Linked DNA regions of Schizosaccharomyces pombe. The protein of the gene in region 2 binds, or shares a complex with, the protein of the main gene of each other region. Each region holds a gene or a part of one and is shown on either strand. Other genes may lie near its edges. A codon is read from its position in the direction of its gene.

The links.
Region 1: rpb3 (region 2) and rpb9 share a complex: the UniProt entries of both Schizosaccharomyces pombe proteins name them as parts of the RNA polymerase II (Pol II) complex.
Region 3: rpb3 (region 2) and rpb4 share a complex: the UniProt entries of both Schizosaccharomyces pombe proteins name them as parts of the RNA polymerase II (Pol II) complex.
Region 4: the proteins of rpb3 (region 2) and rpb10 are in contact, whole or in part, in a crystal structure (PDB 3H0G), measured with the Schizosaccharomyces pombe proteins. Residues at the interface, in NP_588324.1 of Schizosaccharomyces pombe: Val56 (codon at 5,518), Met57 (codon at 5,521), Phe61 (codon at 5,533), Arg65 (codon at 5,545), Met68 (codon at 5,554), Ile69 (codon at 5,557), Pro70 (codon at 5,560), Thr114 (codon at 5,692), Glu116 (codon at 5,698), Tyr118 (codon at 5,704), Ala136 (codon at 5,758), Asp137 (codon at 5,761), Ser140 (codon at 5,770), Gly142 (codon at 5,776), Pro143 (codon at 5,779), Leu144 (codon at 5,782), Ile145 (codon at 5,785), Lys147 (codon at 5,791), Leu148 (codon at 5,794), Arg149 (codon at 5,797), Lys150 (codon at 5,800), Gln152 (codon at 5,806), Ala169 (codon at 5,857), Lys170 (codon at 5,860), Ser172 (codon at 5,866), Ser175 (codon at 5,875), Ala176 (codon at 5,878), Glu234 (codon at 6,052), Val236 (codon at 6,058); in NP_594797.1 of Schizosaccharomyces pombe: Met1 (codon at 4,145), Ile2 (codon at 4,142), Ile3 (codon at 4,139), Pro4 (codon at 4,136), Ile5 (codon at 4,133), Arg6 (codon at 4,130), Cys10 (codon at 4,118), Gly11 (codon at 4,115), Lys12 (codon at 4,112), Val13 (codon at 3,793), Gly15 (codon at 3,787), Asp16 (codon at 3,784), Asp19 (codon at 3,775), Arg42 (codon at 3,706), Asp54 (codon at 3,670), Ile56 (codon at 3,664), Glu57 (codon at 3,661), Leu59 (codon at 3,655), Leu60 (codon at 3,652), Cys61 (codon at 3,649), Asn63 (codon at 3,643), Pro64 (codon at 3,640).

Annotation. Positions count from the first base shown.
Region 1 is NC_003424.3:4,748,654-4,755,696, forward strand, and holds rpb9 (DNA-directed RNA polymerase II complex TFIIS subunit Rpb9), read right to left. Parts: upstream 3,753-7,043; 5' UTR 3,680-3,752; coding exon 3,639-3,679; exon of another isoform or gene 3,572-3,638; coding exon 3,505-3,571; exon of another isoform or gene 3,382-3,504; coding exon 3,332-3,381; exon of another isoform or gene 3,290-3,331; coding exon 3,157-3,289; exon of another isoform or gene 3,082-3,156; coding exon 3,031-3,081; 3' UTR 2,737-3,030; downstream 1-2,736. Other genes in the region: mid2 (septin ring organizing protein), read right to left, coding at 486-2,606; pro3 (delta-1-pyrroline-5-carboxylate reductase), read left to right, coding at 4,141-4,989; sdu1 (PPPDE peptidase family protein), read left to right, coding at 5,530-6,135; proteasome assembly chaperone Ecm29, read left to right, coding at 6,354-7,043. UniProt on the Schizosaccharomyces pombe protein: DNA-dependent RNA polymerase catalyzes the transcription of DNA into RNA using the four ribonucleoside triphosphates as substrates. Component of RNA polymerase II which synthesizes mRNA precursors and many functional non-coding RNAs.
Region 2 is NC_003421.2:1,782,360-1,792,243, reverse strand, and holds rpb3 (DNA-directed RNA polymerase II complex subunit Rpb3), read left to right. Parts: upstream 1-5,245; 5' UTR 5,246-5,264; coding exon 5,265-5,344; exon of another isoform or gene 5,345-5,386; coding exon 5,387-5,436; exon of another isoform or gene 5,437-5,482; coding exon 5,483-6,246; 3' UTR 6,247-6,805; coding exon of another isoform or gene 6,806-8,269; 3' UTR 8,270-8,452; coding exon of another isoform or gene 8,453-8,458; 3' UTR 8,459-9,347; downstream 9,348-9,884. Other genes in the region: sqs2 (G-patch type RNA-binding protein), read left to right, coding at 335-898; CDP-diacylglycerol-serine O-phosphatidyltransferase Pps1, read right to left, coding at 1,473-1,477, 1,561-1,924, 2,208-2,439, 2,527-2,648; SPOM_SPCC1442.11C (uncharacterized protein), read left to right, coding at 3,694-4,242; mrp49 (mitochondrial 54S ribosomal protein mL61), read right to left, coding at 4,366-4,633, 4,815-4,954; trp3 (anthranilate synthase component I), read right to left, coding at 6,806-8,269, 8,453-8,458. UniProt on the Schizosaccharomyces pombe protein: DNA-dependent RNA polymerase catalyzes the transcription of DNA into RNA using the four ribonucleoside triphosphates as substrates. Component of RNA polymerase II which synthesizes mRNA precursors and many functional non-coding RNAs.
Region 3 is NC_003423.3:1,054,007-1,060,646, reverse strand, and holds rpb4 (DNA-directed RNA polymerase II complex subunit Rpb4), read right to left. Parts: upstream 5,139-6,640; 5' UTR 4,986-5,138; coding exon 4,934-4,985; intron 4,896-4,933; coding exon 4,790-4,895; intron 4,745-4,789; coding exon 4,667-4,744; intron 4,593-4,666; coding exon 4,421-4,592; 3' UTR 4,145-4,420; downstream 1-4,144. Other genes in the region: pre-rRNA processing protein Esf1, read left to right, coding at 1-1,125; cho1 (putative phosphatidyl-N-methylethanolamine N-methyltransferase), read right to left, coding at 1,580-1,640, 1,696-2,225; ubiquinone biosynthesis protein Coq7, read left to right, coding at 3,372-4,022; Gtr1/RagA G protein Gtr1, read left to right, coding at 5,943-6,640. UniProt on the Schizosaccharomyces pombe protein: DNA-dependent RNA polymerase catalyzes the transcription of DNA into RNA using the four ribonucleoside triphosphates as substrates. Component of RNA polymerase II which synthesizes mRNA precursors and many functional non-coding RNAs.
Region 4 is NC_003424.3:4,947,090-4,953,893, forward strand, and holds rpb10 (DNA-directed RNA polymerase subunit Rpb10), read right to left. Parts: upstream 4,198-6,804; 5' UTR 4,146-4,197; coding exon 4,110-4,145; intron 3,829-4,109; exon of another isoform or gene 3,794-3,828; coding exon 3,640-3,793; exon of another isoform or gene 3,577-3,639; coding exon 3,551-3,576; 3' UTR 3,252-3,550; downstream 1-3,251. Other genes in the region: protein Hrd302, read right to left, coding at 1-995; SPOM_SPAC1B3.20 (uncharacterized protein), read left to right, coding at 1,527-1,669, 1,714-1,807; GTPase Ypt4, read right to left, coding at 2,181-2,785, 2,834-2,933; U3 snoRNP-associated protein Nan1, read left to right, coding at 4,343-4,476, 4,648-6,804. UniProt on the Schizosaccharomyces pombe protein: DNA-dependent RNA polymerase catalyzes the transcription of DNA into RNA using the four ribonucleoside triphosphates as substrates.

The DNA.
Region 1 (7,043 bases), on a different chromosome or scaffold from region 2:
ACTATATAGCAATTACGGTATTAATTATTTACAGAATAATGTAATTAAATTATTGTGGAATTTTTATTTTTTGAAGTTTCTCAAATGGCAAGCTTACGACTTAATAAATTCACTCGACAACGCCAAGCTAGAGTATTTTAAGGAATTTGATTTATTTACAAAGCCAAGATAAACGTTTTGAGACAACTTATTTTGACAACGTTTCTTCGGATCAAGGGAAACTTTCAAAAATGAAGTATTTTGCAACTGAAGTATAAATATACATGGGGAGTAGTAAGTAATTGCTATCCGATTTTTAACAGCTTATATAAAACGAGCTCATTTCAACCGAATCTAGCTTCTCGATGGTAGATAAAATGAACATTATGTATTATGCGAGGGAAACAACAAAACCAATGAAAAATGCAAGACGATATAGATAAAGGAGAAGATAAAGACCAAATGTGATTTAAATAGAAAAAGTGAGGTCGAAGCAAATGGTCAATTTAAAAACTCAGCGAAAGAAATGATTTGGTCCAATTTTTGTGAACCATTGAACATTGCCCCAAATGCTGACGAAGTGTAGACATCCACTCATCTTTTTCGCCGACGGTTTCAGCGTAAAAATCGATGTAGTCCCCATTACTGAAAATGATACGGAAACCCGATTCGAAATACAGATACCCTTCTAGTTCTTCTTCATCACTATAATGGTTGTCATCCACGATATGTGTGGCTTCAGACAAATCAATCGTTGCTCTGCGAACTTTAGAGAATTGTTGAAAAGCTACTAACTTTGATCCTATTAATTGAAAATAGCGACGACGCCAATAAGGGCAATCCCCACCTTGTTGACATAGATAACCATCACACAATAAAGTTCTATCCCATTCAGCAAGCTTTAAGTCATACATGGCAGACTCGATTGAAGCGGGAAGTTCTTTCAGAGAGACAGGAAGCGCTGGTAAGAAAAATACGTGGATTTCGAGTTCTCCTACTTTTCGAGGGAGAGGCTTGACATCTTTAGCTGCCGGATCAACAGTCCATTTGTTCATGATTGGTAGAACCATAGATTGACAACGGCCTAGTGCGGTTCGGCTTACAGAATCAGTGTTAATGGTAACTTCGCCGAAAGTTCCATCTTCAGAAACAAATCCATGAAGTGCTTCTGAAACGGGGTCGGTAGTCATAGACTTTCTCTTATTTGTTGAAAATACTTTTCCAAGTGTAGAACGAGTGCGAACCTTAGGTGGATCGTAAGCCGCACGGAGCGTACATACAATTGAAGAACTAATACTTTCATCAAAAGTATACTCATTTTCAATTTTAGTAGTAGAGTGTAAGGCGTTCCATGGTACTTGAATGTGCTTACCAGAGATTGTATAAGTGAACCTAGTGGTCATCCCCGATGCCAAAGGAATAGTTAAGTTTCTGATTTCCATAAGACGGACAAACAATCTTCCACTCCCGCCGGTTTGTTGCAAACTACTGGACAAATTTCGCGATAACGATTCTGGCATATAACAAGAATTGACAACGCGCCGCGAAGTTTGCATTTCTTGTTTCTGACTAGTGGCATGTACAACTTTAGAATTCTGTCGTAGCAAATATGTCCTAGTCAAAGCGTCAAAGGCTGAAAGAACATTTGTAAAGCGAGGATCTGGTAAAGAAACCACTTTTGGAAGAAGCGGTATCGGAGCATTTTCGTCAAGAACATGAGGGGAATCTAAAGAGGTGATGGAGCTCGTAAGTGGCTCTTCGTATTCATGAATAGAATCTGAACGGTAGATATCAGTCCTACAATTCTCTCGGTTCTCATCTGCGAATGATAAGCGAGGAGGTGTCTTTATATCTTGGAACGAGGACGAATCTTCAGAGAAACCAAAAGATGCAATACTGTTTATACCTTCGCCAAGACCAACCATGTCACTAACACTGCTAACTATACTGTTCGTAAAACTAGTGTCAGATGAATTATGAGAGTGAGTAGGTAACTCAAGTTTGACAGGTGGTGAAATTGAAACTTCTTCAAATTCAGCTGGCAATGTGTCCTCGTTAAAAAGCTTTGAATTACAAACGGAACGAGCAGGATTTTTTTTAGGAATTGGTATGTCGCCATGGCCCTGGTTAGATGAATTACTCTTTATCGAGTTGCGTGGAGTCGAGCTACGACTGCTTTTATTTGAAGCCTCATCATCAGATAATTTGATCAAACATGAATCGTTCAATGACAGTATGTTCTCTTTGTTTACGTCTTCAACACTTGTACTACTACTATCCGTTTCATTCATGACAGAGTAAGTTGGGGTCCTACGAACTTCTGTAGAAAAAGGAAGAAGAGACTGATGATCATCAAAACTGGAAGAATTTGATAACGTTTGATCATAAGGGAAACTATCGCCATCTTCAGCATCCTCAGATTCAGCAAAAGAAGGGGCCGTAGACGAGATGTTACTGCGATTAAAATTTCTCATTGTACTTTCTCGAGATATCGATGCGATTGTAGAGGCATAGTCAGAACATTCGTAATCAGTACTTGGGATGGGAGAAGGAATTCTCAATGCTCTATGGATGTCAGCTAAATACATTTTAGCATGCTGATCCTGTTGAGAAGCAGTCATCAACATTATGGAAAGCCTTGGAATTTAACAGCTCTGCTGAAATTAGAATATAAAAAAAAATAAAGGCACAAAGAATTAAGGGTTTTTATTTAATTGGTATTCGGATTACAAGGCTATTCCGTATGGATTATTGTATACAAATAACTGAAACAGTTTCAGTATATTCCAGAAGGTACACCGAATGTGAAATAAAGAAATTCAAGTGTTTTGGTAGGCGCGTTGCTTAATATAAAGGAAGGAGGCGAGCATATGATTGAGAGGCTGGTAAATCCATTTTCGGCAAAGGTGGCTGGTATCACTCGAAAATCCAGTTTTCCAGCACAGAAGCGAGAGAGTGGTTACATCAAGCGGATCATTTAAACCGAAGTCTAAGAGCCATTGGTGGACGCAGCTAGTTTTACAATCCCTTGTTAGACCGAATTGTCGCATATTACTGTTCTTCAAAAGCAAATCCACAATGTACGCAAACATAAATCAGAGTCTAATTAAGTCAGTAAAATTGTTTTTAAACCTAAATATTAAAATTGTTTTCTCAATGAAACAATGCGAAACACACCATCATAGTATCACCCCGACGAGAATGAGTCTGATAAAAAACTGCTTCATGTTGATGACAACGCGGGCATTCTTTGTCTGATCTAGGTAAAGTAGGGTCCGTTGAAGCGTCGTGACTGACCGTCGTGTTTTCTCTACAAATTTAGTGATTATTCGAAGGATGAAATCTAACTTACACATTGGAGCTTTGTAACTCATGGCGATAAACTTTACTAGTAGCAGCGATCTATACAAATTAGCTGATGAGATATTTAAAACTTCCAAATGATGAGGAAAAAAGTAATCGAAAAGAACTTCGAATTTTTTTCTTGAAGTGAATAAACCCAGTAGGAGAAAAAAACAAGCTTACCTCTGAGTAATCACAATTACGACAAGCTAGCCTCAGAACACGATCCACTTTATCCTCTCTAGGGTACCTATTTATTTCATGTTAGTGTTTTCAAACAATTTTCAGTGTCATCTTTTTGAGAAACTAATCCGTACAGCATATTATTGCATTCTATACAATATTGAAAATTTGACATTTTAAAAAAGCAAACAAAAGTATTTTACTTCAACGCAATAAACTTTCAAAAGAACGTGGTGGTTAGTGGATATGGAAAATACAGTGGACAACAGCGTCCTGATGGTTCACATCTATAAGTTCGAAAAAGCTTTTGTTTATCTACAACGTCTCTACAAGATTTCGTTAAAAACTGTGTAGCTGCTTTAAAATTTATTTGCGATATACTTAATATTACTAATTATATAGAAGATATATTGACTTTAACGTGTAGCATTATTCAAACATGGACTAGTCCTACAAACTTGTAACATCATACTTCAGTATCTTACATTATGCACATCAGCGAGTAAAACGGTAATTTACAGTATGAGTTTGATTTTGGAATTAACGATCCCTTAGCATATGCTTTAGTCGAATTTATTTTCGCTTTAAAAGAAGACTACAAAAATAGTTAAACATTTTTAAGCATAACTTTAAAAAATGTCGGGGTTTTGTGTTCTTGGTTGTGGTACAATGGGAAAAGCACTTTTGACTGGAATCTTTGATTCCATTGCTGAAAATGGAAACGATGTTTCTGACGAAATTATCATTCCGAATAAGTTCTATGCTTGTGTCAAATTTCCTAAAGAAAAAGAGGATGTTCAAAAGCTTTTCGGAGATCGTGTTAAAGTTGTAATGGGGGCCAAAGAGAATGCCGAGATGGCTGCGATTAGTAACGTTTTGTTGTTGAGTTGTAAGCCTCAGGCCGCAGAGGATGTTTTGAATTCCCCAAAGATGAAAGAAGCGCTCAAAGGAAAATTAATTTTGTCAATTTTGGCTGGCAAGACCATCTCTTCATTGCAAAGTATGCTTGATGAAAGTACTAGGGTGATTCGCATTATGCCCAATACTGCTAGTCGAATCCGTGAAAGTATGAGCGTAATTTGCCCGGGACCCAACGCAACTGAAGAAGACATAAAGTTTGCTGAATGGGTATTCAATGGCATTGGACGTTCAATGAAACTTCCCGAAAAGCTTATTGATGCTGCTACCGCTGTATGTGGAAGTGGACCTGCTTTTGTTGCTACTATGATTGAGGCTATGACAGATGGTGGTGTAATGATGGGTATTCCGTTCCCTCAGGCTCAGGAATTGGCTGCCCAAACTATGGTTGGTACAGGTCGTATGGTTTTACAAGGTCAACATCCTGCTATGATTCGTAATGATGTTTCAACTCCTGCCGGATGTACAATTAGTGGTTTGTTGGCATTGGAAGATGGAAAAATTCGAAGCACAATCGCACGTGGTATAGAACAAGCAACCAAGACTGCTTCTGGCCTGGGTAAATGATACTAGCAAATTCATTTTGTGCTATTAAATATCCTGGTTCCAAACATGGATTTGTATATAAAATTCTTGGGTTAGTACTTCTGTTTCCTCTTTAAAGCTAGTTTCGTTATCTAGTTGTATTAAAGCGTTGTGACTTAGTTTCATTCAATGATTCCTCTGTTTAAGCTTGCAATTCTGTTACATTACTAATAATATGCGTATTCGAACAGCGAGATTATATTTCATTAACTTTTTAGAACGTTGTATGCAATTAAACCCATTTCATTGCGATTGCTATCGTAGTGAATTTAGCTAAAGGTATTCAATATTGAAGAAACGTACTATGTTTTGATTATTTTAACATTGTCATAGTCGTACCGATGTAAACAAAATCACCACCATAAACAGCTCCCGTATTTTAAATTTTTATCCTTAATTCGACTCTACTTTTTTTTATTAAAAATACTTAATTGTACAGGTATCGAATCTTAAAATTCAACCTGCTTAAGGAGGACCAAGGAAATTTGCAAGTTGTTCTTCGCCATCCGAACGTATTCGAATATGAAAGTATACATTAATGTGTATGATCTAATGCCAGACAGTCCGGTAAACAAACTAGCATGGACTCTTGGACTTGGTATTTACCATACAGGATTGGTTTTAGAAGGTAAAGAATATGCGTTCGGAGCACACGAAATTCCTGGCTCCACCGGTGTGTTTGCTACCATGCCAAGACCGCCTTTAGAAGGGTGTAGATGGCGCTGTTCTATTGCTTTACCTAATTGTACCCTCCCTAAACCCGACGTGGATAGAATTTTGATTCGTTTGAGTCAAGAATTTACGGGGTTATCATATTCTTTATTAGAGAGAAATTGCAATCATTTCACGAATGCTGCAGCAATTGAACTTACGGGCAGCCCTATCCCTTCTTTTTTAAATCGAATTTCTCGAATTGGATTGGCGTTTCCTACGATCACGAATGCCTTATTACAGCACGGTCAAAAAAATACATCCGACGTTGATGATTCCTCGGATTCTTCTTCAGATGTAGATGAAGAAACTTTAATCGTATCAAAAAGTAAAAAAGCTCATAAAGATATTCCTAAATTTTCCGCACCTCCTCCTTCTGCTGACCTCAATAACCTCATCACTGATTCACTTCCTTAAGTCGCATGCTGTTAGTCAGCCTTTTAACCTACGAAATACAACACACACATCCAAAATTGTAGATTTTATTTATGCCTTGTTCTATCAATTAAGTGTAAAGTCAATTTGGGACTTTTTTTTAATTACTTGCTTTCTGATATATATCTCTTTATTCATCTTTGTTTGGTATTTTATTGTAGAGTGTTTTTTTATTAGTGATTATAATTAACTCTACAATAATGGCTGAAAATGAATTGAGATTATTAAACAATGCAGAGCTGAAGCTCGCTCTAGCGGAAAGCGAGGACTCCTTTCAATCGCTTGTGTCAGTTTTTTTATGTCCGATTTTACTAAAACTCGATTCGCCTCATGAAAGTGTGAGAAACAAAACAATTTCAATTGCAAACCACATTATGACTAGGCTCAACAATAACGCGCAAGCCATACTACCTCTTGAAGCCTTAGTAAGCCAGTACGTTGAAGCAAATCAACCTTTGCGAAAAAGATTTCTCCTTGCTTTCATATCTATAGGCGAAAAAAGGATACCTTGTTCTGAAAATTTGGCCCTTCTCCAGATTTGTCTAAATCATGTCAATGAATACCCATTAGTATTATTGACATTGACAATTCGTTTACTTCGTTTTTCAAAGCCAACTTCGGCTATTACATGCTCTAACGATGTCATTTTATCTCTTTCTTCATTCTATTTGATTCAGAAAGATCAAAGGATTTTTAGTGACCTGCAATTTTCCCAAAAAACAGTAGATTACCGCTTGAGTCTGCTTCGGTGGATTCATTTATCTAGCTGGCCATCAAATTGGAAGTGGTTGGCTTACTTTTTTGCCTCTGCTGATTCTCATTCTGAAGTTGCCCGACTGGCAGATGAATTTACGCGTGATAGTGGATTACCTGATCTAGAGAATTTGTCC
Region 2 (9,884 bases):
ATTTTTAACATGCAAAATTATATTTGAGCCTTTCTATCAGGGTATTGCTAATAATTGATCAAAACCACTGCGATAGTATTTACTTACCCAAAGTAACAATTATTCATCAACCAAGTCACACTTGGTTTATAGTAGCAAGCTATACTGCACGAACAAAACTTTTATAATTGAGAGCGAATTTGTGGAATAGTCAGGCTTGATTTTAATAAATCCCTATTATTATCCTTGATCTCATAAAATTTAAGTTTCTTGGGTTGTGCATTCTTTATAGCACCAATGCCAACTCAGGCTGGTTTTTGTAAATTTGCTGAATTTTCGAACATTTATTAATACAATGGCAATTATTGTGGAAGACGGTTCTTTTATTACATCTTCTCAATGGGAAAATGTAGAGGCATCTCCAAAACCTCCTCCAAGGAAGCCAAAGATTGTTCAACCAAAAAAGAAGCCATCGAAGCACTTGAGCAATGAGGATGCTTTAGAAAAATATGAAATGCTGTTTGGTGAAAGGAGAAAAGAAGTGGAACTAGATTATATGAGCCACATTGCGGAAGAAGAGACTTCGTTGAGCATGATTGAGTATGATCGTCATTTTGCACTTCAAACTGACGTGAAATTGTCAAAGAAAAGAAAATCCAAACTTGTTGAAATGACTCCTAAAGGTTTGAAAAAAAGGAAACGCGTGCAAATACAGGAAGGAAGTGTGTCAACCAATACAAAAAAGCGTATGGACGGTCATGTTGTTGGTTCTAGCGCTCCCGCTATAAATAATGGCAAAGGAAAACAACTTTTAGAAATGATGGGTTGGTCTCGGGGGAAGGGACTTGGTTCTGAAAACCAAGGAATGGTTGATCCGGTTGTGGCTGTTGTAAAAAATAATAAACAGGGTCTTCATTAGTTTTTGACGAGGAGATTTTAAATCCTCATAGTGTATATTTACAAAACATTATTTATTTAGAAGGAAAAATTACTTTTCACCATCATTTTGGGAAAGTTTCTTTTTTATAAAGAATTTTATTTTTGGTTGCTCATCATGATGACTATATAAGAAATAATAATTAAAGGAATTTTACTATATTTTACCGTTGAGGGTACAATCACTTGAAATAATTCAATTTCATAAGTTTTTCATAAAGAGAGCAATAGAAAACTGGTAAGTTGAAAAACAGCTTCTAATTGTTAAAAGGACGGAAATACATATTTGGAAAAGGGGGAAGGAATGAACAATGATGAGTGCATTTACGTTAAAAATGGTTAAGTCGAATAGGTGAAGGACAGACTTATCTTCGAAATGGAAGAAAAAAGGAAAAACAGGATATGAGAAGAGATTCAGTAAGGATTATAAATTTAAGAGAGGAAAAGGCTTCGCATGCGAGTAACATCAAAAGCAAAAAGTGAAAAAAACTGTGTATACCCAGATCGCTGTACTGTAAAGTTTCATTTGGATTCTATTGAATAAAAGCATCAGTTGATCAAACTAAAAAATCGATCAGTTAATATAAACAAAATAAAAAAAAAGAGCATTCTAAACATATTTGAGCGAATGTAATAGAAACGTACTTTTTGGAACTTTGAGTTTCTTACTAGTCATAGCAATTCCACTCAACACAAACAAAACCACAAGCGGGTGAAATGCAAAAGGTGTGTTTCCACACCACTCACCCCAAGGTAGATTTTCATGAGTCTTTCCCTTTAAGATACAAACTCCGCAAACGGTTACTAAGGAGAGGGTGGTAGGAATGGGCGTTCCTTCGAAAAACTGAGACTTGCCAGATCCATCTTTAGGAATGGAATTGACAGAAACATTAAAACGAGCCAATCTAGTTAGACCACACAAAACAAAAAGGGAAAGTATAACGGTATCAAGGAACGTTTGGAATCCACAACAAAAGGCAAAGACGGCTGGAGATACGCCAAATGAAATCTATTTTGTTAGTATAATGATATAAAAAGACCGGATAAGAGAGAGAAAAAATATATATAATCAAGAATTATACGCAATCGCATGTTTATTGAGAAAAATTCAGACTCATTGAACAAACCGACATAATGTAAAAAACGAGAAGCAAAAAAAAAAAGCTCGACTTAGCTAAAATGAAGAAAAAATTCAACCAAAGAAGCCTCTTATCATGTTCCTCGTGTTTTTATCATGTCAAAGCAACCAATGTGAAAATAGTCTCGGAACAGATTTGAGAAGTTATACATACCAGATCAGCAAGACTATCCAATTCCTGACCCATTAAGGAAGATTTCCCACGCCAACGAGCCACTTTACCATCCAAAAAGTCAAAAAACAACGCAAATGGCATAAAGTACATTGCATTCCATAAATGGAAAGCTGATTGCTGTCCGCTTAGGCAGTAACGTAAACTTGAAAATATACTCATGACACCGCAAAACCCGTTCATTAAAGTAATCAAGTCTGCAAGGTGGAGGGCTCTACAATCCTCTAGTTAGTATTTCAAGTAATGAATCCTTTTGCAAAGTCCTTTCGCAATGGTGTAAACAAGAATACGTAAATCATACCTAATGAGTGAAAAATGTCTATTATCATTTACGTAGGCCAGTAACTTGTTCTCTTTATCATTGCTTTGGTTTGATGCATCGGATTGTAATTTCAATCCAGGAGAAACTCGTGATCTAACCATCTTCCAAAATTGGCAGTTTCTGGTTCTAATTGTACCTGTTTATTTACCGGAAGTCGAATAACTAACAAAAATAAGGCACCGCAGGGTATCGTTATGGTTGTGATTGAGAATTGTCTAGAAATGCTTAGCGATCCAGGCTTTGGAATTCTTATCAATCTTTTAATGTTTATTTATTAGCATCGTTAAAACAGCATTGTGCGTTCTGTTATTTGAATAAAAGTCGAAAAAGCTAATCAATGAATATAAAACGAGCGAAGTGTTTAAACTATTTTCCAAGCTAAATATGGTGGTTTGTGGTTTTGAATTACATGAAGAAAATAAGAAGAGGGAACGTACCACCGCTGATAGGGGATGCGGCAATTTGTTGTATGATCCAGATATGTGTGCATAAGGCAGTAGAAGGCATCGAAGCAAGATGATTAAAAACCGAGTAATGAATGACCTTTGACAGTGTATATAGTACGTCTCATTTAAAATTCCAAGTTGGACCCAACTCAAAAAGAAACAAATATCACGATCACATTAAGGGCCATTTTTCATCTAACTTTCTATTGTTATTCGACTGGCAAAAAATTGGGCTGTTGTGGGAATCGAACCCACGACCACCATCACCCTAAGATGGTATCATACCACTAGACCAAACGGCCACTATTGTTAAGTAAAAAATTTTATTATATAGAAAGTAAACATGAACTAGCTTATGTTTTTTTTGGAGCTTTTAGCATTGAACAGTACTTTGGTATGCACTATTTATGTAAATACTAGCAAGACCTTGAATTAAAACAGAATGTATTTCCTTTAAATTTTCTATTATTCATAGCTTGATAGTTAAGAACATTCATAACTAACTAAATATGGATTCCTATAATTTTATGTTCTACTATTTAATCTGGTAACAAAGCATCGAATGCGCACTTTTGAGTATTGTTTTAAACTTTTCAAACATCAACTTAAACACTCTGTTTTTTTTTGTACAATTTCTCTTAATAAGATAAAGTTAGATAACATCTTCTGTTCAGTTAAACTTTGAATCGTTTACAAGTACATGCTCATCGTTAACAGAAACCCGAAGAGTTTGGTAAGAGGATATTGTAAAAAAGATATTGTACTTCGTAATTTAGATGGTTGGCTATTTGATATGATCACAATTTCAACCATTTTTAAACTCTACAATCAAATTTGTTCACTTTCCTCCACTGACCGAAAAAAAACCTCAATATCTAATAAACTGCAGCAGGAATTTTGCATTATGGATATAAACAAAGTTGGCAGAAATTTTATTTCTTTAGGAAAAATACGATCAAGTAAGAGGAGAAACGCTATTTTGTCATACCAAACGATCATTAGTTCATTCCCTCATAATCATGTACAAAAACTTTTTCAAAGAACTCAATCAACAAATATGATTTATACCAAGTTAGAATATTTCGGTCATTCTTTGTTCTTTTATTTTACGGCATTTACGCTCTCGTTCAAGGATAGAAAAATCTTAATGCAAGCCGATGTATTTTTTAGACTAAAGCTCGTATTCAAGATAGCATTCTTTTTCACTCAAACAACTTTTTTAAATAAAAAAGAAAATAGGGAATTGTAGGTTTATGGATCATCAAACAAAGGAATACAGTAAACGGACTGCAGCAAAACTAAAGGTTTTTTAGAAAAAAAAAAGATGCATATTTTGTTCACTGAAAAAAAGTAATTTTAAAAGCGTTTTTGCTTAATTAGAAGGAGGTGAATAATCTTGTTTGTGCGCTTCCTTAATGTTTTCCGGGGATGACTCGTGATGAAGTTCTTTAAGCGCTTTTTGAATATCGGAAGAAATTGTTTCCAGCTGTTTTGACCGCATGTCGTACGAATAGATTACTTTGTTGTTTGAGATAATGGAAAATGTTGGAGTTTGATCGTTCGGTAAACGGTGATTAACGTTAAACTTCAAGCCGTAATTGTTGTAATACAATGAAGGAAGACATTCTTTTACAAATTTTCTAGAATTTAAAACGTTAGCAATGAACAACGCATGAAACGGAATCGTAGATCAGTGCTTCCTCACACAAAGTATTATCAAGCAGTTATTTGAGAGAATTAAACATGAATTGAGCATAAAATGTTTGAGGTACCAGTACATAGACAACATCGATGATTCTAACACGAATAAACAAAACTTACTTAGCACCCATATGTCCCAAACGGCTGTCTAAAGAATATTGAATAGATACTTCCTGAATATGTTTTGGTAAAGGAATCCCTAAAGCTCCAGCACGAATCTTGTGCAAAGATTTTTGTAATTTACCGCCTATGCTAGACATGGCGAAAATGTAAAGTTGTAGTAATAATCAGCCAAACAAAAATGAAAGAGTTTGAAACAATATGTTTTTATTCAAATATTCTGTCGGGATGAACAGAGAATATAAATATTAATGAATTAAGCCTAATGCCGTAGATTCGTACTCTCTTGTCAATTGTTGCTTGCTCTCTTTAAAAGCGAGTTCCTTGATCTCGCATTTAACGTAGTTTAGTGTGTCCTTATGCTAAATAAGGGATCACCTAACAGTGCGGAATGGGAGAAATGAGTATGAAATTCTGCAACAAGCATAGACCAAACGACACATTCTCATTATGGATTCAGAAACGCATATTACGATACGAAATATAAGTAAAAACTCGGTGGATTTTGTCCTTACAAATACAAGTTTGGCGTAAGTGAAAAGCTCTAGGAAATTCCTTCTAATAGTTGAAAGAGTTGCAAACTCGCTGCGACGTGTTGTACTTGCAGAGATTCCAACAGTGGGTAAGATTTAGGTTCATTCTTGAATTAAATACTAATGATGTTTTAGCCATTGACCTAGTTGAAATTAATGTGAATACCTCAGTCATGCCTGATGAGTTTCTAGCACATCGTCTTGGTATGATACCTCTGGATAGCTCCAACATCGATGAACCGCCTCCAGTAGGTTTGGAATATACGCGCAATTGCGATTGCGATCAGTATTGTCCCAAGTGTTCAGTCGAGTTGTTCCTAAATGCCAAATGTACTGGTGAGGGTACGATGGAAATTTATGCTAGAGATCTTGTTGTTTCTTCTAACTCTTCTCTTGGACACCCTATTCTCGCCGATCCAAAATCACGCGGACCGCTTATTTGCAAACTCAGAAAAGAGCAGGAAATTTCTCTGCGTTGCATTGCCAAGAAGGGTATAGCTAAAGAACATGCTAAGTGGTCACCTACTTCAGCTGTTGCATTTGAATACGATCCATGGAACAAGTTACAGCATACTGATTACTGGTTTGAGAATGATGCAGATGCAGAGTGGCCAAAAAGCAAAAATGCCGATTGGGAAGAACCACCGCGGGAAGGCGAACCATTCAACTTCCAAGAGGAACCGCGTCGGTTTTATATGGATGTCGAAAGTGTCGGTTCTATACCACCCAATGAAATAATGGTTCAAGGTTTACGAATTCTTCAGGAAAAGCTTGCAGTTTTAGTTCGTGATCTCGACGAAGAGCAGCCTACTCAACTTTCTGCTAACGAACTGAATATGGAGGAGAATGCAGAAATGAACTGGTCTCCCTATCAAAATGGTGAAGAAAACACGTGGTAGACTATGCTTCAATTCTTTTCTAAAAATTATCCATTTTCATCCTTTATATGTTTGTTGTTATAAAAAATACTCTAGATGCGTTTTTTTAATCATCTAAAAGTTTTTAATTTATGGCCTGCGTCCGTTCATGTCATACCTTACACATTTTTATCTAATCCTTTTTTTTTTGGCTTTTGGCTACAACATATTGTACGTATTGATATGCATATATAGAGATATATATTCCTCCCTCATATCATAATTTTGTTCTTCTTCACTTGGATTTATTATAGCTTTAGATAATTTCGTGAAAGAGAACACTTTCGGAATTGTCGTTTTGATATCTTTTTAATTTTCGGTGATTGCCTCTTGAACTCTTTGTTGGAAAGTTTATATCGGCTCACCATGCTCACAATGAATAGACAAAGTTGCTACAAGTGGACAACGAGATTACAGAATACAATTTTTTATAACGATGTTTTATTCGTTTACCAAAAATAAAGACAACAAAAAAGTTTTTAAAAACCTCAACACTTTAAAATAACATGTACAACGAGAACCGAAAGCGTCTCCTTTACTTTTATGCTGAAGAGTTTTCTTCTTCAGCGTATAATTTTTCGGTTTCCTCAATTGCAGTAACATTTGAACGTAGTTTGTTTAAAGTTTCCACGTACTCATCTTGTTCATCTGAATCAAACACAATACCACCACCGGCTTGCAAATAAACAGTTCCGTCTTTATAAACCATTGTACGGATTGCTATACAAGTATCCATGTTGTCATCTTCATAGCCCCAACGACCTACGGCTCCCGCGTATATACCACGCTTTTCTTTCTCTAATCCATAAACGAGCTGAATTGCACGGACTTTGGGAGACCCACTGACCGTTCCAGCCGGAAATATACTACGGAATGCATCAAAACGAGTTTTATCAGGTCTCAGAACACCAGAAACTTGAGAAACAAGATGCTGAACATGAGAAAACTTTTCAATAGTCATCAACTTGTCAACACTTGTTGTGTCGAGATCACAGACACGACTGACATCGTTTCTTGCCAAGTCCACCAGCATTACATGTTCAGCTCTATCCTTGACACTAGCAAGTAAATCCTTGGCATATGCCTCATCCTCTTCTTTAGTTTTTCCTCTTGGAACAGTTCCGGCAATGGGATGATTGATAATACGCCCATGCTCTGATTTAACCAGTAATTCAGGGGAAGCACCGATTATGTCGAAATCATCACAGTGGATGTAGAACATATAAGGGGACGGGTTAACTGTTCTTAAATGGCGGTACAAATTAAAAGGATGTAAATCTGTACGCCTAGCAATCCGTTGGCTTGGGACAGCTTGGAAAATATCGCCATTAAAGATATGTTCCTTGAGGTTGGAAACAAATGCTTTATACCCGTCTTCGCCTACATTTGACTTAGCTTCGTATCCTAAATGGACCTTCTTTTGCTCAGGCAAAGGAATTTCAGGACTTTCAAGTTTCTTTTTAAGCATATTGATTTTGAAAACGGCAGCTTCGTAAGCCTCTTCAATGGGTCGGCCTTGCTGAATGCAAACATGAGAAATTATCTTGACAGTCTGATAAGCATGATCGAAAGCGACTAAATCGTCGGTCATGAAAAACATAGCCTCCGGAAGACCCAAGGTATCTTCTAAAGGCATTTCAGTAGTGGGTTCAAAATATTTGATGCAATCATAAGAAACATAGCCCACAGCACCTCCACTGAAAGATGGCAGACCCTCAACAGGGGCTGTTTTAACTTCTTTCAACTCACGTTCTAAACGTGCCAAAGGATCTGTTTTTCCATTGGCCATTAATATTCTATAAGGGCTGCCAATAAAACTGTATCTTGAGACACTCTCTCCTTGAGTGACACTTTCTAAAATAAACGAATACTTCTTTCCTTGATTAAGCTTCAAGTAGGCTACTGAAGGAGTCAGCATATCGGCAGGGATTACTCCATAAATGGGAATCTTGTTAGCCTTGTGCTTTTCAGCAAGCTCTTGAACTTGTTTCAAGTCAGGATAAATCTAAAATAGTATTAGTATCATGTATTAATTTTAAGCTTCATAGCCCTAGAAACGGCGACTTTTACAGTTAAAAGCAATACAACAAAGGAAAGACCCAATCCTAAACTCGTCAATATATCCCAATACTACTATTTATTTTCCATAGGTTGGGTCTCCTTGTTAGAACAAAAAAAATCAAATTACCTTCATCTTATTGACAAGTCTATACTCGAATAAGTGCAAATTCAATAGCAAACCAAAAAAATCCCTTAAACTTGAACCGATCTATTTCCAGAAAGACAAGCAATTCCAAATTTTTCTGTAAGCGAAGAAAGAAAACAAAAGAACCAATTAATTCAACAACGTAAAGCTGCTGGAAGAAGACAACTTGTGAAAGTTGGAAAATTCATCTAAATTAGATGAAAAATATAACGGATGCGTTGGAAAACGTTATATGGTTAAATGTAAATAAAAGACTGGAAATAGGAATTAGGAAGTTATATTTAACTGCGGACAAACCGATAAAAGTATTTTGTTTTAGGATAAGATTTATTTTTTTCCTAAGCTCTTAGGCAAATTCTTAAAATGGCCAAAGTTTCGTCGAACATAAACTGCAATCTAGTTAAGATCTTGATTTCTTTTTTTTTTATTTTATTTATCTAGTCTCCTTGGTTTGATTTAAAAATGTTAAAAATAAAAGGCATTCGTTTAGATGAAAAGGGTGTGTATGTTAGCTAGAAAGTTGCAGACCTGAATAGAGGAGAAGACACTGTGTAAAAGTCCTCTACAAAATCTATGAAATTTCGTGAATCATGCGCTTATAATATTCAGAAATTGAAAAGAGGAACAACGATTATAACGAAAGAGAACTAAGAGGATTTAGGCGTTGGAATTGGTATAAGAGAATACATGACTCGCTATTAGGGCAATTCAGAATAATGTTATATTTATGCTAACAAATTTATAAATTTAATAGAGTCGACTACCCTTAGGATTTGAAGTGCGTCTTATACCGAAACGATCGAAGTGAATTAAAGTGATTGCTTGTTTAAGTGCAATTGAACAGTCAAGGCTAGTCATCTATAAATCTGAACAGTTCAACTTAATAAGCAAAAAGTAATGTTATTCGATCAAGGATTTTTCGTCTTGTGAATGATCTTGCAAGTTAATAAAAACGGAGATGAAACTCTCGAACGTATAAAAACAATCAATCGCTGGTTAAATTCAATCTTTTAGCAAAAAAGGATTTTAATTGTATAATGTATTCAATCGGGAAAAGCAAAAGAGGGTCTTTCACGCGGCACTATTTTTTTGCCTGAAAATAAATAAGTAAATAGAACAGTATCCTAAAAACAGTTTATTCAAATCCTTTTTAAACGAGTATAGGAATCTTGTTTGTTATATATTGGATCTCTGTCAGTTCAAATTCATGTTATTAAGTAGAATAAATACCTCTTTCACTTCACTCAATAAACGCAGATGCAAAAAGAAAATAGGAAAAATAGTATAGGATAAAGGTAAGATCGCACTGTTATTAAACAGTTATTTTACTTCTACAGTGTTGATTCCTCATGATTTCAAGTTAAGATATTGTCGTACAAAATCCCGATTCGGGGAATTGAGCTTCACTTAGATT
Region 3 (6,640 bases), on a different chromosome or scaffold from region 2:
GCAAAGGTTATATACGAAACTTGTGATGGCGCTGAGTATGAAACTAGCGCTAATATTTACGATTTAAGATTCATTCCAGATGATGTTACATTTGACGACGATGAATCTCGCGAAGTATGTACTAAAGCGCCCGAAAAATATGAGCCGAGAGATTTTGTCACCGATGCATTGCAACATTCAAAAGTTAAACTTTCGTGGGATGCTGAGGATCCACACAGAAAGGATTTAATTAAAAAGGCTTTTACTTCTCAGGATATTGAAGATTTAGACTTTAGCGCTTACATTGCCTCAAGTGAATCTGAAGATGAGGATGTAGATGTTATTCGTTCTCGTTACCAAAAGTTATTAAGTGGTGATGCTGATGACTTCCAAGCGAATAGTAACCCTTTTGAGGATGATGACAAACTTGAAGGCGCCAATGGTGAGATGGAGGTTACTTTTACTTCAGGTTTTGATGTTGATAACAATGCGAACTCTTCGGAAAAAGATGAAACCACTATTGAAAAATACAAGCGTAAGGCCGCTGAAAGAAAACAAAGACGGAAAGAATTGAGACAGCTTAAGAAAACAAAAGACGATGAAGGTGAAGGATCCGACGTTGATCTTGGTTTTGATGATCCATTCTTTAAGGACAAGGATGCTAGTCGTAACAATAAGAAAAACAAAAAGGGCAAGCATACTCAAATTGAAGATCCTACGGCCGCGTCTAAAGAAGAACTGGAAAACCTTGTTCGTGAAGATGAAAACGATTCTGAGCAGCTCGATCATTTTGACATGAAGAGTATACTGAAGGCTGAAAAGTTTAAGAAGAATCGCAAGCTTAAGAAAAAAGCCTCCAATTTGGAAGGCTTGCAGGAAGGATTCGAAGCTGATGTCAGTGACCCACGTTTTGCTGCTCTATATACTAACCATAATTTTGCACTTGATCCAACAAATCCTCATTTCAAACGTACTAAAACGGTGGAAAAAATTATGGACGAAAGTCGTAAAAGACGCTCAAATCAATTGGAACAAACACAAGACGGTAAGCCTGAGCTTAAAATCAAAAAGCGTAAAGCTGAAAAAGGAGATCAACGTCAAGAACTTGATCGCATTGTCAAATCTATTAAACGTTCTGGAAAATAAATTAGAAATTGTACTCTGTTTTTCCTCTTGAACGATTGGATTTATAGAGTTTGATTTTGTACATATAAATTGGTCAAAACGGGGTTTTTTTGGTTTGCTAATATATTTGTTTTGAATTTTATTTGATTTTAGAATGAAAGCACGTTAATTTACATGGTGTAAAATATTAGATTATTTTTTACATAAGTATGAATATAAAAATATCGGATCATGGTGTTGAGACCGCGATCAACACACTTAAATAATTTGAAAAAAAAAGCGTTAAACTATGCATAATTATACAGACGTTGAAGTCGTCAAAGTACATAGGGCAAAATCGGTTAAAGGAGGAGCGTTAGTAAAGGTAAGGACTAGTCATGAACAGAACATTCCATTTAAAATTGTTCCTTTTTTTTTTTTTTTTATAAAAAACTCTAATGAAGCTTTAACTTATGGCCACTTCAAATCAGCTGCTTCACTCGGATTTTTTAGCTTGCTTGCTATCACGAGCAGCGTAAATTTTAGCAGTAAAAGGTCTATTAATGGTTAGAGTAAAGAAAAATTTAAAAATTTAAACAGTTGGCAACTTACTCTTCAAATTTCAAAGCTATTCTATAAACGAAAAAGACTTCCAAAGTTAAAAGGAGGCCAGCAACTTTTCCATAACGCAGAGCTGTAGAAAGGAAACAAAGAGTAGAACCGTTGTACATTGGGTTATCGTTGACATTAAATGGGAAACCAGAAACACGCTCTGGAAGCAGAAATCCAAAGTAATCACCAAGATATGTACCAACAAGTCCTAGCTTATACATACTCGATAAGACAAGGACGCTGCCAAAACAAAAAATGAGCTTAGCTATACCCTGCACAAGAGGGTTCATGAAGATACCTAGCGTAGGTTGTTGTTTTAAAGCATTCTGATAAATTAAGTCACGAACTATTCCGGCAACAAAAATACAAGCTGCTAGCATGTAACAGGCCTTCTTAGAGTCGCCATTTGCCAATTTGGTCAAAGTCTTATGATTGTATTCTGAACGTGCAGCAATATTCCATAGCAGAGGGTTCAAAGCAATAGATACAGCACAAATTAAAAAAGAATTATTGATTTCAAAAATGGCCATGTTTAGCGAAAAATATGCTTTTATAAAAGGTTGATATAAATACGAAGTTGGTTTGGGGTAAAGAATCAAGCTCATTCAAACGACGTCTTTGATACAACGGAATTTAACGATATTGCTATTTTATAAAATAATGAGAGAAGGCCTGAAAAACATAAGTACTCATTTGTGTTTAAAAGATTAAATTAGAAAAAGGAAAGAAATGATTGATTTCGCATATTTCAAATTGTAAATTTTCGATGGGGGAGGTGGGTGTGGTTCTGGAGCTTTTTTTCTATAACAAAGAAAATTAATCCATAATGCCAAATTACATTCTTGAATTATTAAGCAAGTCAAAAATTAATTGTGATGGGGTGTCTTTGAGTCTCTACTTGTACTTGTTATATCAGTAATACTGGAAATTTGTATATCTTCGGATTCCCCTTCGGTTGAACTAGTAATTAATTTAAAGTTTTTTAAGCGAAAATACAATGTTGAGTTGAATTGGTTGGAAAAAAGATAGGAAATTGGAGTTTACTTTAAAACTGCAGCTTAAATATGTTTTTTTTTTTTATTGTTTATAAGAAGCATTTTATTATTGAACTTCTATATCCGTCAAGATTGACGAACACTATGAAACTGTAGCAAAGCCATTTAGCTAAGGAAAAAAATGATACATTGCTTCTTTCCTGAAATTACGCCACTGTTTATTGAATCTCTTAGTTTAAAAACTAAGTATGTATTTTTCATTTTGACTTAAAAATAAAGTTGAAGCAACTGGTATTCACTGCGTTAATCAAGCAAAAGAATAAACGACAAGTTTATCGAATATTTTATTCCATAAAAATAGAGTGAACATCAAATCACTTAAATTTAATTCCTTCTTAACTTAACCATCTAGCTTGAATTTTGCAGATTTGTTCAGAGATTGATATGAAATACACCTCAAGCCTAACGTGTTACTCAACTAAGCATTTCCGCCTAAAACGTTCGGTTTGGTAGAGAACTTCACATTCTAATCCTCCACACCCAATCAACATCATAGTCTCTTTCGTCGAATATTTCAATCTATTAGTGAATTAGAAATATTGGTTTATTGTTGATTAGTAAAATTTCGTTTTGAAAATTGATAACTCTGTGTAATTTCAGGCCTTTTTACCATTACAAAAGATGTTGTCACGTAGACAGTTAATACCCATTGCTACCAAGTCGGTTTCTCCTTTTCTTCGCTCCTCTATAACATGCCGTAGAATTTCGATGGGCCGTAAAGAACTGAGCGAGAAAGACTCAAATATTTTGGACAGCGTCATTCGTGTCGATCAAGCAGGTGAATTAGGCGCTAATCAAATTTACAAAGGTCAGCACTTTATCCTTCAATTTACCGATCCCAAAGTCGCACCTACCATTCAGCATATGTGGGATCAAGAAAAGTACCATCTCGCAACATTTGATAATTATGTCTTAAAGAATAGAGTCCGTCCTACCTTTTTACGTCCTTTCTGGGACATCGCTGGATTTGCGTTGGGAGCAGGAACTGCTTTGCTTGGAACCAAAGCAGCTATGGCTTGTACAGAGGCAGTAGAAACGGTAATTGGCGGACACTATAACGACCAACTACGTGAAACGGCTCATTTGGAAAATAAAGCTCCAGAATTTAAAGAGATTCGTAGCCATTTGGCAGAGTTTCGAGATGACGAGCTAGAGCATTTGAACACTGCAGTCGAAGGTTGGAACGCAAAGGAAGCTCCAGCTCATGCATTGCTTACCAATGCCATTCAAATGGGTTGCAAAGCGGCTATCTGGATGTGTAAACGATTTTAAATACTTCAAGTTTTCCTGCCTCAAACTCAACTTGCTAGTCCTTTATGAAGCAAAGAACGCCCATTTGATTCAAAATGTTTAGTTTTTCTTGCTTCACAATAGTATGATCCTTGTTAAAACTTACTTAATCTAATTAATACATTTTATCTAAATTCCTTTTCGCGTGTATTCAGTGTTTGTATTATATTTTTTTAATAGACTAATTAAGAAGTGTATGGTGCATAAAAAAACATAGATTTTGTTAAAAAAAGTTTTATGACCCCTCATAAATTATGGAATAATAATGACAAAAACGTCGTATTATAAATCCTGATATAGCTAATAGTTTATAAGACCGGAAACCTTTTAAGTTTTCATAATTGACAATAAACAGACTTGCCTGAGATCTATTTATTGCATTAATCTTGAAATTTACGCAAAGTGGAAAGCTCATCCAAGATGCCTTGAAGATTTTGGTCATCAATTTTATTCGCGAGACTAGGAATCAAGGTCCTAGCCTCTTCAGCGTCTTCGCAGCAGAGTGTTCCCAATTGTGCACGTTCAAATTTATGGAATCGATTACCAAGAATTCTATGAGGTTAGTCAAATATTTGCATACGGCTATTTTCCTCTAAAATTCTATTCAATTCTTTGAAATTATGTACCTTTCACATGCATAAGTGGCTTCAGCCGTTTTAAACCGAGCAAAAACATTGAAGTAAGCTACTGTTTTTTTCATCACACTATCCTAGTTAATTAAAAAAGAATATGCATACAATAAGACATACTCAGTCATTGGAATCTCACCATTAGTTTCGCGTGCTCGTTGTGCCAGAACTGTTTCAATAAGGATTTTGGCCTCTGAAACCGTCAACATATCCTCATTCTCAAACTCTTTTTATATTAGCAACAGAATAAAATTCAAATCCAACCTGGACCAAGTTTTAATTGTGCAGCATCTTCCTCAAAAATAGCCCTCGGCATTATGAATAGATGCTCGCAAACACTCTCTTCAGAATGTTGTTTTTTCTTTTTATCTAATTAAATCAATAACTATTATACAAATGTATTCCCAAAAATAATGTCAGAATGCTCTTTATGCACAACAACCAGCTTTCTTGCTGTTGCTTCGTGTCTAAAAATCGCGTCCTTGATTGCAGCATTTCTATAGCCGCTGCTAATAATAACGATATTTTATATTTATCTTAAAACTAAATAACGATTGTTCTTAATAACATTATGAATTTACCGAGATGTACGGAGATGTCTAAGAAAAATTTATTTTATTGATATTTCTTAATCATTTGTCTAGCTTAACGACGCCAGGGTTTTGGAGTATTTTCTCGTTAAAACCAAAGAGCTTTCTATTAAAATTATTCTCAAGTCTTTGCTTTAGAGACTTCGTATAGCTAAACGTTAATGCGCCTTAAAAACCTCAGATATGAGGATTCTTCTACTAATTTCGTTATATTCATTTGAAAATACGTTACATTCTTTTAAAGGGGTTATTTCTATTTTTACTGTGCTTAATTCTGAGATGAACCATTCGTTCTTGATTTATATGTTTGTTTTTTATAAATTTGTAAATTTATTTTTATTTTAATTTTAATTCTCACAATTTGACTTTGAATTTGATTTTTAATATGTAGGTTAAGGAAAACAGACTTCGTAACTTTACGATGTAATCGACTGAAGTGCATGTCGTTGTACCACTAATCAACTTAAACTTTTCTGTCTGCGGGATATTATAGAATCTTTTCGCATTCCTTTACCTACATTTCTCCCTTTCTTATTTTTTTACTTTTTCTTTGCTTGTGATTTTAAAAAAGAACGCATAAAAACACGAATTCACTCACAATTGCAGTGACAGCTGTTTTGTAGAATTTTATAAACTAATTGCTTTACCCTTAATCTCAAGATAGTTCTGTTATTCTAGAAAAAATGAGAAAAAAAGTCCTGTTAATGGGCCGCAGTGGCAGCGGCAAAAGTTCAATGAGAAGCATAGTTTTTAGCAATTATGTTGCCAAGGACACGAGAAGGCTAGGTGCTACAATTGATATTGAACATTCGCATGTAAGGTTCTTGGGAAATTTAGTTTTGAACCTATGGGATTGCGGTGGACAGGAGGCGTTCATGGAAAACTATTTATCTGCCCAGCGTGATCACATATTCAGAAACGTTCAAGTACTTATCTATGTTTTCGATGTTGAGTCAAGAGAATTTGAAAGAGATTTAGTAACTTTTCGTAATTGTCTAGAAGCAACAGTGGCCAATAGTCCCCAAGCTCGTGTATTTTGTTTAATACACAAGATGGATTTAGTTCAGGAAGATCTACGTGATTTAGTTTTTGAGGAACGTAAGGCAATTTTGTTAGAAACAAGTAAGGATCTTGAAACCACTTGTTTAGCTACTTCTATTTGGGATGAAACATTATTCAAAGCATGGTCTGCTATTGTCTATACTTTGATTCCTAATACGCCTACTTTGGAATCGCATCTCCGGGAATTTGCCAAAGCTGCTGAGGCTGCTGAGGTAATATTATTTGAAAGAACAACATTTTTGGTTATTTCTTCTTATTCTTCTGAGTCCAATCCTGCCACTGATGCTCACAGGTTCGAAAAAATTAGCAATATTGTTAA
Region 4 (6,804 bases), on a different chromosome or scaffold from region 2:
ATGCTCTGTGGAGTGTTAGCTAACACACTATTTTCTGAAGTGTATGGCCAGTATTGTCTTGAAACCTTGCGAAATAATACATCGGAAACAGTGTAATTCCTTGGATACTTATACATCCCGTGCAGACGTAATTTGGCAACTTCAAACATTAACTCATAATCCCAATCTTCAATTGAATTTGACATTTCACGAAGGTACTGACTCCTAGTATGTAGGGCCTGATAGGCATCAGAATAGGTATAAGCAGAAGCAGCACCGTACACACCCATACCGTTTTCACCGGCAAAATTATAATCCTGAATTTCAGGCCATATACACTTTAAATAGGTTACATTGGAACCACATTCTTCTTCAAATAAGTGGTCAGAAATAAATTTGTAATGCTTCACAGCTTCCTCATCCGATTGAGGCATATTTAAAGCGATTAAATTATGGTACGCCAGAAATTGATGAGCGTCTAAAGAGCCTTGCTTTGCTGCTAACTCCCAATGTATCCTAGCTAATGCTGGGTTGTTAGAGGCATACTCACTAAAACTAGTGGAGTAAAAAAATCCCATCATATTATTAGCAAATGCACTACCATTCGCTTTTTGTAGCATATCATAATACTTGACGGAATCTTCAATTTCGGGAATAATTTCAAAAAGACCAAAAAATTCAATGTTTGCGAGATAAAGCATGGCATCCGTGTTATTATCATGAGATGCGGATCTTAGCAACTCAATTGCATGGTTTCTTTGAATAATAATCTCTTCATACGTTACGTCTTCCTGCTCATAATAATATCTAAGAATTTCCAAAGCCCGCTGAACTCTCACAGATGGAGTTTCTGCGAAATCGTAGTCGCTCAATACCATGGATCCTATGTTGTTGTCTACATATTGTTGTGCATTCACGATACGCAATAAGGTAGACAAAGAAAGCAAAAAAAATGCTATGCTTAAGATTCTTTTCAAAAATAAACTAACGTGAAACGTCAGAACCGAAACCCCCATAATTTAATAATGATATGTACAAGTTAACAATGACAGTTGTAACTGAAAACAGGGCAAATTTACCCGCTTGAGACGAATTTTACAGCAACAAAAGTGTAACGTTTTTATTGATAAATTTACCGGAGCTTTTCTTTCAATGACTTCCAACAACAAACGCGTCTAAACTAACAGTGGAACAATGCAAGTGTAAGTTATCACAAAAGCGAGAAAGGCAAAGCATTCACAAAATATGAAATGCTCAAAATGGGAAAATAAAAGCTTTTGTTATTGTTAGCCCGCACCTTCAAAACAACTATAACAATGTAGGATTGAATGGCGGAATAAATCAGGCAACCATACCAACTTGGAGTAAATCTTCTTGATCTTAAATAACAAAACTTAATTGGTTTTTTTTAAAAAGATTATGAAAAGAGCGAAGACTGCCAATTTATGGATATGTTATGTTGATGTCAGGTTATAAGTTTGACGTGGAACAGACGATGTGAAACCAACGCAGTAATCGTTACTTACCAAGAACCAAACACATAAAAAATGAGTTCTAATTCCAATACAGATCATTCTACTGGTGATAATCGTAGTAAATCTGAAAAACAAACGGACCTAAGGAATGCATTGCGGGAAACCGAAAGTCATGGCATGCCTCCCCTTCGTGGGCCTGCTGGTTTTCCTGTAAAGTATGCTCTCAAAATTTTTTAATATTAATTCTAATACAATATAGTCCTAGACCATTCTCTCATGGGGGCAATGCGAATTTGGATAGATTGAATTTAAAAGAACCCGTTGATTTGGAGGGTCCAAAAGACGAACAATAAAACCCATATGGACTTTACGGACTGAGTAATTGGCCTTATTCGTTTGTAATGAATTGAATCAATTGATGACTTCTATATATGCGCTTCATAAAGCAAAACTTCTATAGTAAATTTACCCTTTTGTAAATGATCCTTATCGGACTTATTTAAAGTGCGATTATTCAAATAAATTATTTAATTCTCTTTGTTAAATGCAGCTCTATACTCTAACATCTTCCTTCAGTAAATATGGTCATAATTATATAGATGTATCAATCATCAAACTGTGTTTAAGTTGAGAAGAGCTTTCGAAATATCATGAAAATATCCTCATAAACTTAAAAATAATACACGTATGATAATTTAATAATAAATAATTGAATAACTGTTTTTTTCAGCAGCAATAGGATCTGGTCTGTCTTTCCAAACGGACCAGGTCGTCCCAATTCGTAATTGAAGTCCACCAATTCGAAGTACTGGAAGGGTGAACCGGTCTACGGAAACTTAAATCACCATATTGTATACCTAAGGATTGATCTTGGGGATCAATTTCACCCAACTCAATCCTAGTTATTATGGTGGAGACAACGGAAAGAAAACACTCTTCAACGTTGCTTCCTGTATAAGAACTAGTTTCATGCGCACTAGATATATGCTTTTCTGAGCAAAACTCAGCTGCCTCTTCAGTAGAGACTTGTCGTTGGTTTTGTAAATCAGATTTGCTACCAGCCAATACAACACATATTGTTGATGGAGCCATAGCTCGAATATCAGACAGCCAAGACGACAATTCTTCAAACGAGTCCTTGTTTGTCACATCATAGACTAAAACAGCACCTGCTGCTCCACGATAGTAATTCCTAGCCACGCTTCGAAACTTTTCCTGACCAGCAGTATCCCATATTTGTAACTTGATTCTTTTTTGCTGGTTTCCCATTCCAACACTTATAATCCGACTTGCGAAATCGATTCCAACAGTATGTGATACTTGATCATCCCCTAATTTCCATTAAAAACTTGAACATTGTTAAATTTGCATGTACTTACATTGATTCTTAACAAATCTCTGTAACAAGCAGGATTTGCCAGTTCCCGAAGGACCTGCAAGTACAATCTTTACCAAATAGTCATATGATTCTTTGTCCATAATAATAAATAGAATTTTTGGCTTTCAATTGTTCTCTTCTTGACATTTCAAGCTCGTAGGCTCCGATATTGGTATGATGCTCTGGATCACGTAGCACTAACAAATGTAGACAACACCAAAAATATTATTTATTAACTTCTGATTAAAATGTTAAGAGGAAAATGAATTTCTAAAGGACGTAATATGCAACTTCACTTGATTGGCAATGAAACTATAACTCTAAGTTCTTGCATCTACATATCTACACCTAAAAATTCAGTTCTGTACTGTAACAAAACTAACCATCCAACATCAGCTTACAGAATGATTATATGAACATAGAGAAAAAAATAAAAAAATAAATGCAAATTGACTATCCTATGTCCAAGCCTCTATTGAACTGTCACAAAGCACACAAGCATATAATCAAAGTCAAAATGTCAGAAGAATCATGAAGAAAAGCCAAAATTTGCGCGTTATTTGGAATCTATGGGTACGAAATGAAAAAGTGAATAATTAAATGATCGGTCGGTGTGCTTGAGCAATGATGTAAAACTAATTGAAATTCTGCAACAATCCAGGCTTCTCGGCCTAATCTCAAGTATAAACCTCACATTCTTTCAAGCGTGGCTAACCGATTAAAGATTCTTTTGTTTTGACAACGCTAAACACTTAGTTAGTTTTGTTCCTAAGTTGTTCGCAGATTAATCATTATGATGAAACTTACGATTATAGCAAAGTAGCTTTTCGATTAAGTCGACATGAGTAAGAATCATACGACGACAACAATAACGTTGAAGGCCAAGTTTATCCAATGCCTCACCCTCTGTGTTATCCTCTTGAAGGAGTGTGAGATAGGTGTCCCACTTGTCACCAATAACCTGCTGTATTAGCAAGCAAATAATTAAAAAAATAATAGATAGAAATTCTTTGAACAAATAGAAATAAGCGTTCGTAATATACAAACATATGTATAATCGCCCCAAAAGTGGATCAGTCCTCGTTGGAATCAGTAGCGAAAATGGGGCTATTTTTAAACTAAATCTAATACCAAAAAAACTATAATCTAATGCTTCAACTTAGGCTAATCTTAAACTATATACAATACACGAAGCAATTGTGAAATTTTTCTACCGATCCATAAAAAATGTGAATCGCGTTCAACCACCTCCTATAAATAGCAATTTGTTTCCTTACCTTTCCACAAGAAAAGCAGCGAATAGGAATGATCATTTTTCTAACTTTGAACACCCGTCGCCTTCTTGACTTTGTTAGTGTTGTTGGCAAAGGGAAGGTAACCGTGCGTATTGGAAGGAGGTGTGTTCGCCAGGAAAAGTTTTATGCTACAACCAAGTATTTGGCTTTAACCAACCACCATTGCGTTTTAATTCCAACCGGTTTTATTATTTTTCGTTGGAGGAATAAAAATTATGGAAGGGCCTAATTCTATGGAAGTTGGTTCATTGGAGGTCAAAAAAAATGATAAAGACCCTTGGTCTAAAACTGCATATTTAGGGGGTCGTTTGGTTTCAAAGATCCCTGCAGTTTACTCTAATGATAACAAGTATGTTTTTTTTTATTAAAGGTTGGGTAGCCTTGAACAGACTGCTTTTGCTCAATTTTCTTAATTGAAATATATAACACGAAATGATCTGTAAGAATTTCATTCCTGTCTGTACTTGCCGCTGCTTTTCTAGTATTTTTCAGTTTTTAAGTTATTTTTACTAATTTTTAGATTTGTATTTCTTACTTATGATACTTTTATTGGAATTTTCTCTTTGATTACAGGAGATTGTATCAATCGAATTTTCTTTCCCAATAATTTGGCCAATTTATTACCCGTAGCTGTATTATTGTCTCCTGAGAATGCATTTGAGCTATATGTGATTTTTCAAAGCGGATACGTCTGTGTTCATGACTGGTCGAATTCTGAACTTTTGCGCACCATGGAGATTTCCACTCGTGTCCATGCAGCTTCTTTTTCCGGAAAGCTATTGTTTGCTGTAACCGATACTCCTGCTTCAGACTCTGCTTCTTCACAAGATCGATTTACTCTTTATGCCCTTTCCCCCTCCACTTCTAAAGAAGGCAGTTCTATATTGATTCCAACATTTGTCTCTAAGTTCAACGAGTTTTTAGCTCTCGACAGCAGTCTCAGAGATAACAATTTAGCCACGGTAGCAGTCATTACTACTGACAAAGCAATTTTTTCTTTGAACGTTCCTAAAAAGAAAAGGAGCCAAAGATGGATTCATCGTGAACATCTGTTCAATATGCCACAGAAACTTACTAATGTTTCCTTATGTGGTTCAGCCTGTGCTGTTTCTGATGATGAAGGGAAAATTCATGTTATTAATGACATTAGCAATGAGAAGTTTAATCCTCAAATCCTTCATTGGCACGCAAATCCATTGAATGGTTTATCTTGGGCATTGAACGGTGAATATCTACTCTCTGGTGGTCAAGAAGGTGTTCTTGTCTTATGGCAAATGGAGACGTCTCATCGACAATTCTTACCTCGATTGGGATCATCTATTCTCTCAATAGCTACTTCTCATGATTCTGATTCGTATGCTTTGCATTTGGGAGACAACTCTTTAGTTGTTATTCGTGCAGTTGATTTAGCTGAGCAAATTCACGTCAGTGGAATAAATTCATTTGAAAGTAAATATCTAACTAGTACTGGTCCAAAAAACACTTCAAAGCAGCTCCAAGGACTTGTTCAATTTTCCTCTGTGAGTCCCAATGGTGAGCTTTTACTGATGTCTAGCTCTTCCTTTAATGGTCACTCTGTTTCAGTACAAGAATATGATCTAACTAAAGATTCCACAATTCGTAAATTTGAAGCTGCAAGGTATTCTTATTCTTCAGTATCAAAGAATTCAGATGATGCGACAAGTTTGGATAATGGTCATGTTGGTTCTGTTGCTGTCACGTCGTCTAGGAATGGTTTATACATTGCCACCATCGACACTTGGTGCACTAATATTATCGATGAACAGCAGCGGAATGTAAAACAAACTGCTTTGAAATTTTGGCAGTTTGACTCTGTTCAAAAGACATGGGTCTTGATGACTAGAATCGACAATCCTCATGGAAACTTAGAAGTTGTAACTGCCCTTAAGATGATGACAAGCTCTAATAGATTTATTACCGTTGGAACTGATGCTACACTTCGTATATGGGCGCTGTTACCTGGATCTTCCGCTTGGAAATGCGTTGCGATCCATCATTTTGCAAATACGCATTCTCAGGCTTCTATAAAGCAACGTTACGGGTTTTCCAAAGCTCTTACATGCTCTCTCGATGATTCAATTATCGGATTTGGATACGGATCCTGTATGCATTTCATAAACTCAGAAACGTTGGAGGAAATATCGACGGTGGATCTTCCTCATGGAGGACAATTGGAAAATGCTCAATTTTTAAATGCTGAACATTGTGTAATTATCTCTCAAAGGCGTTTACTTGTTTGGAATGTTATATCTGCATCTGTTCAATGGACTCTGGCTTCAAAGTTTACTGGTCTTTTGGCCAGCTCTTCATCTGGAAATGATTTTGCCGTCATTGATTTTAATTCATCTTACTCGCGTCTTATTATTTTTAGTCCTGATTCTCCTAAAATTCAATCCATACATATCTTTAAGACTTTACCAGTAGCTCTTCATTATCTTCATGGCGGTTTTGTTGTTCTTGACAATAAGTCAATTATACATGTATATGCAGGTGATTTGACTACGAAAATACCATCAGCACAGTTATCTATCGATAATACTTCGAGGTCTCTACTTGGTGATTTCCAAAAACGCAATGTTCCTCTTTTGAATTTGGAAAACCCGATATCCGGTAGTCAAGGTTTACATTATAAGCGTCTTACGACTGACATGATTCA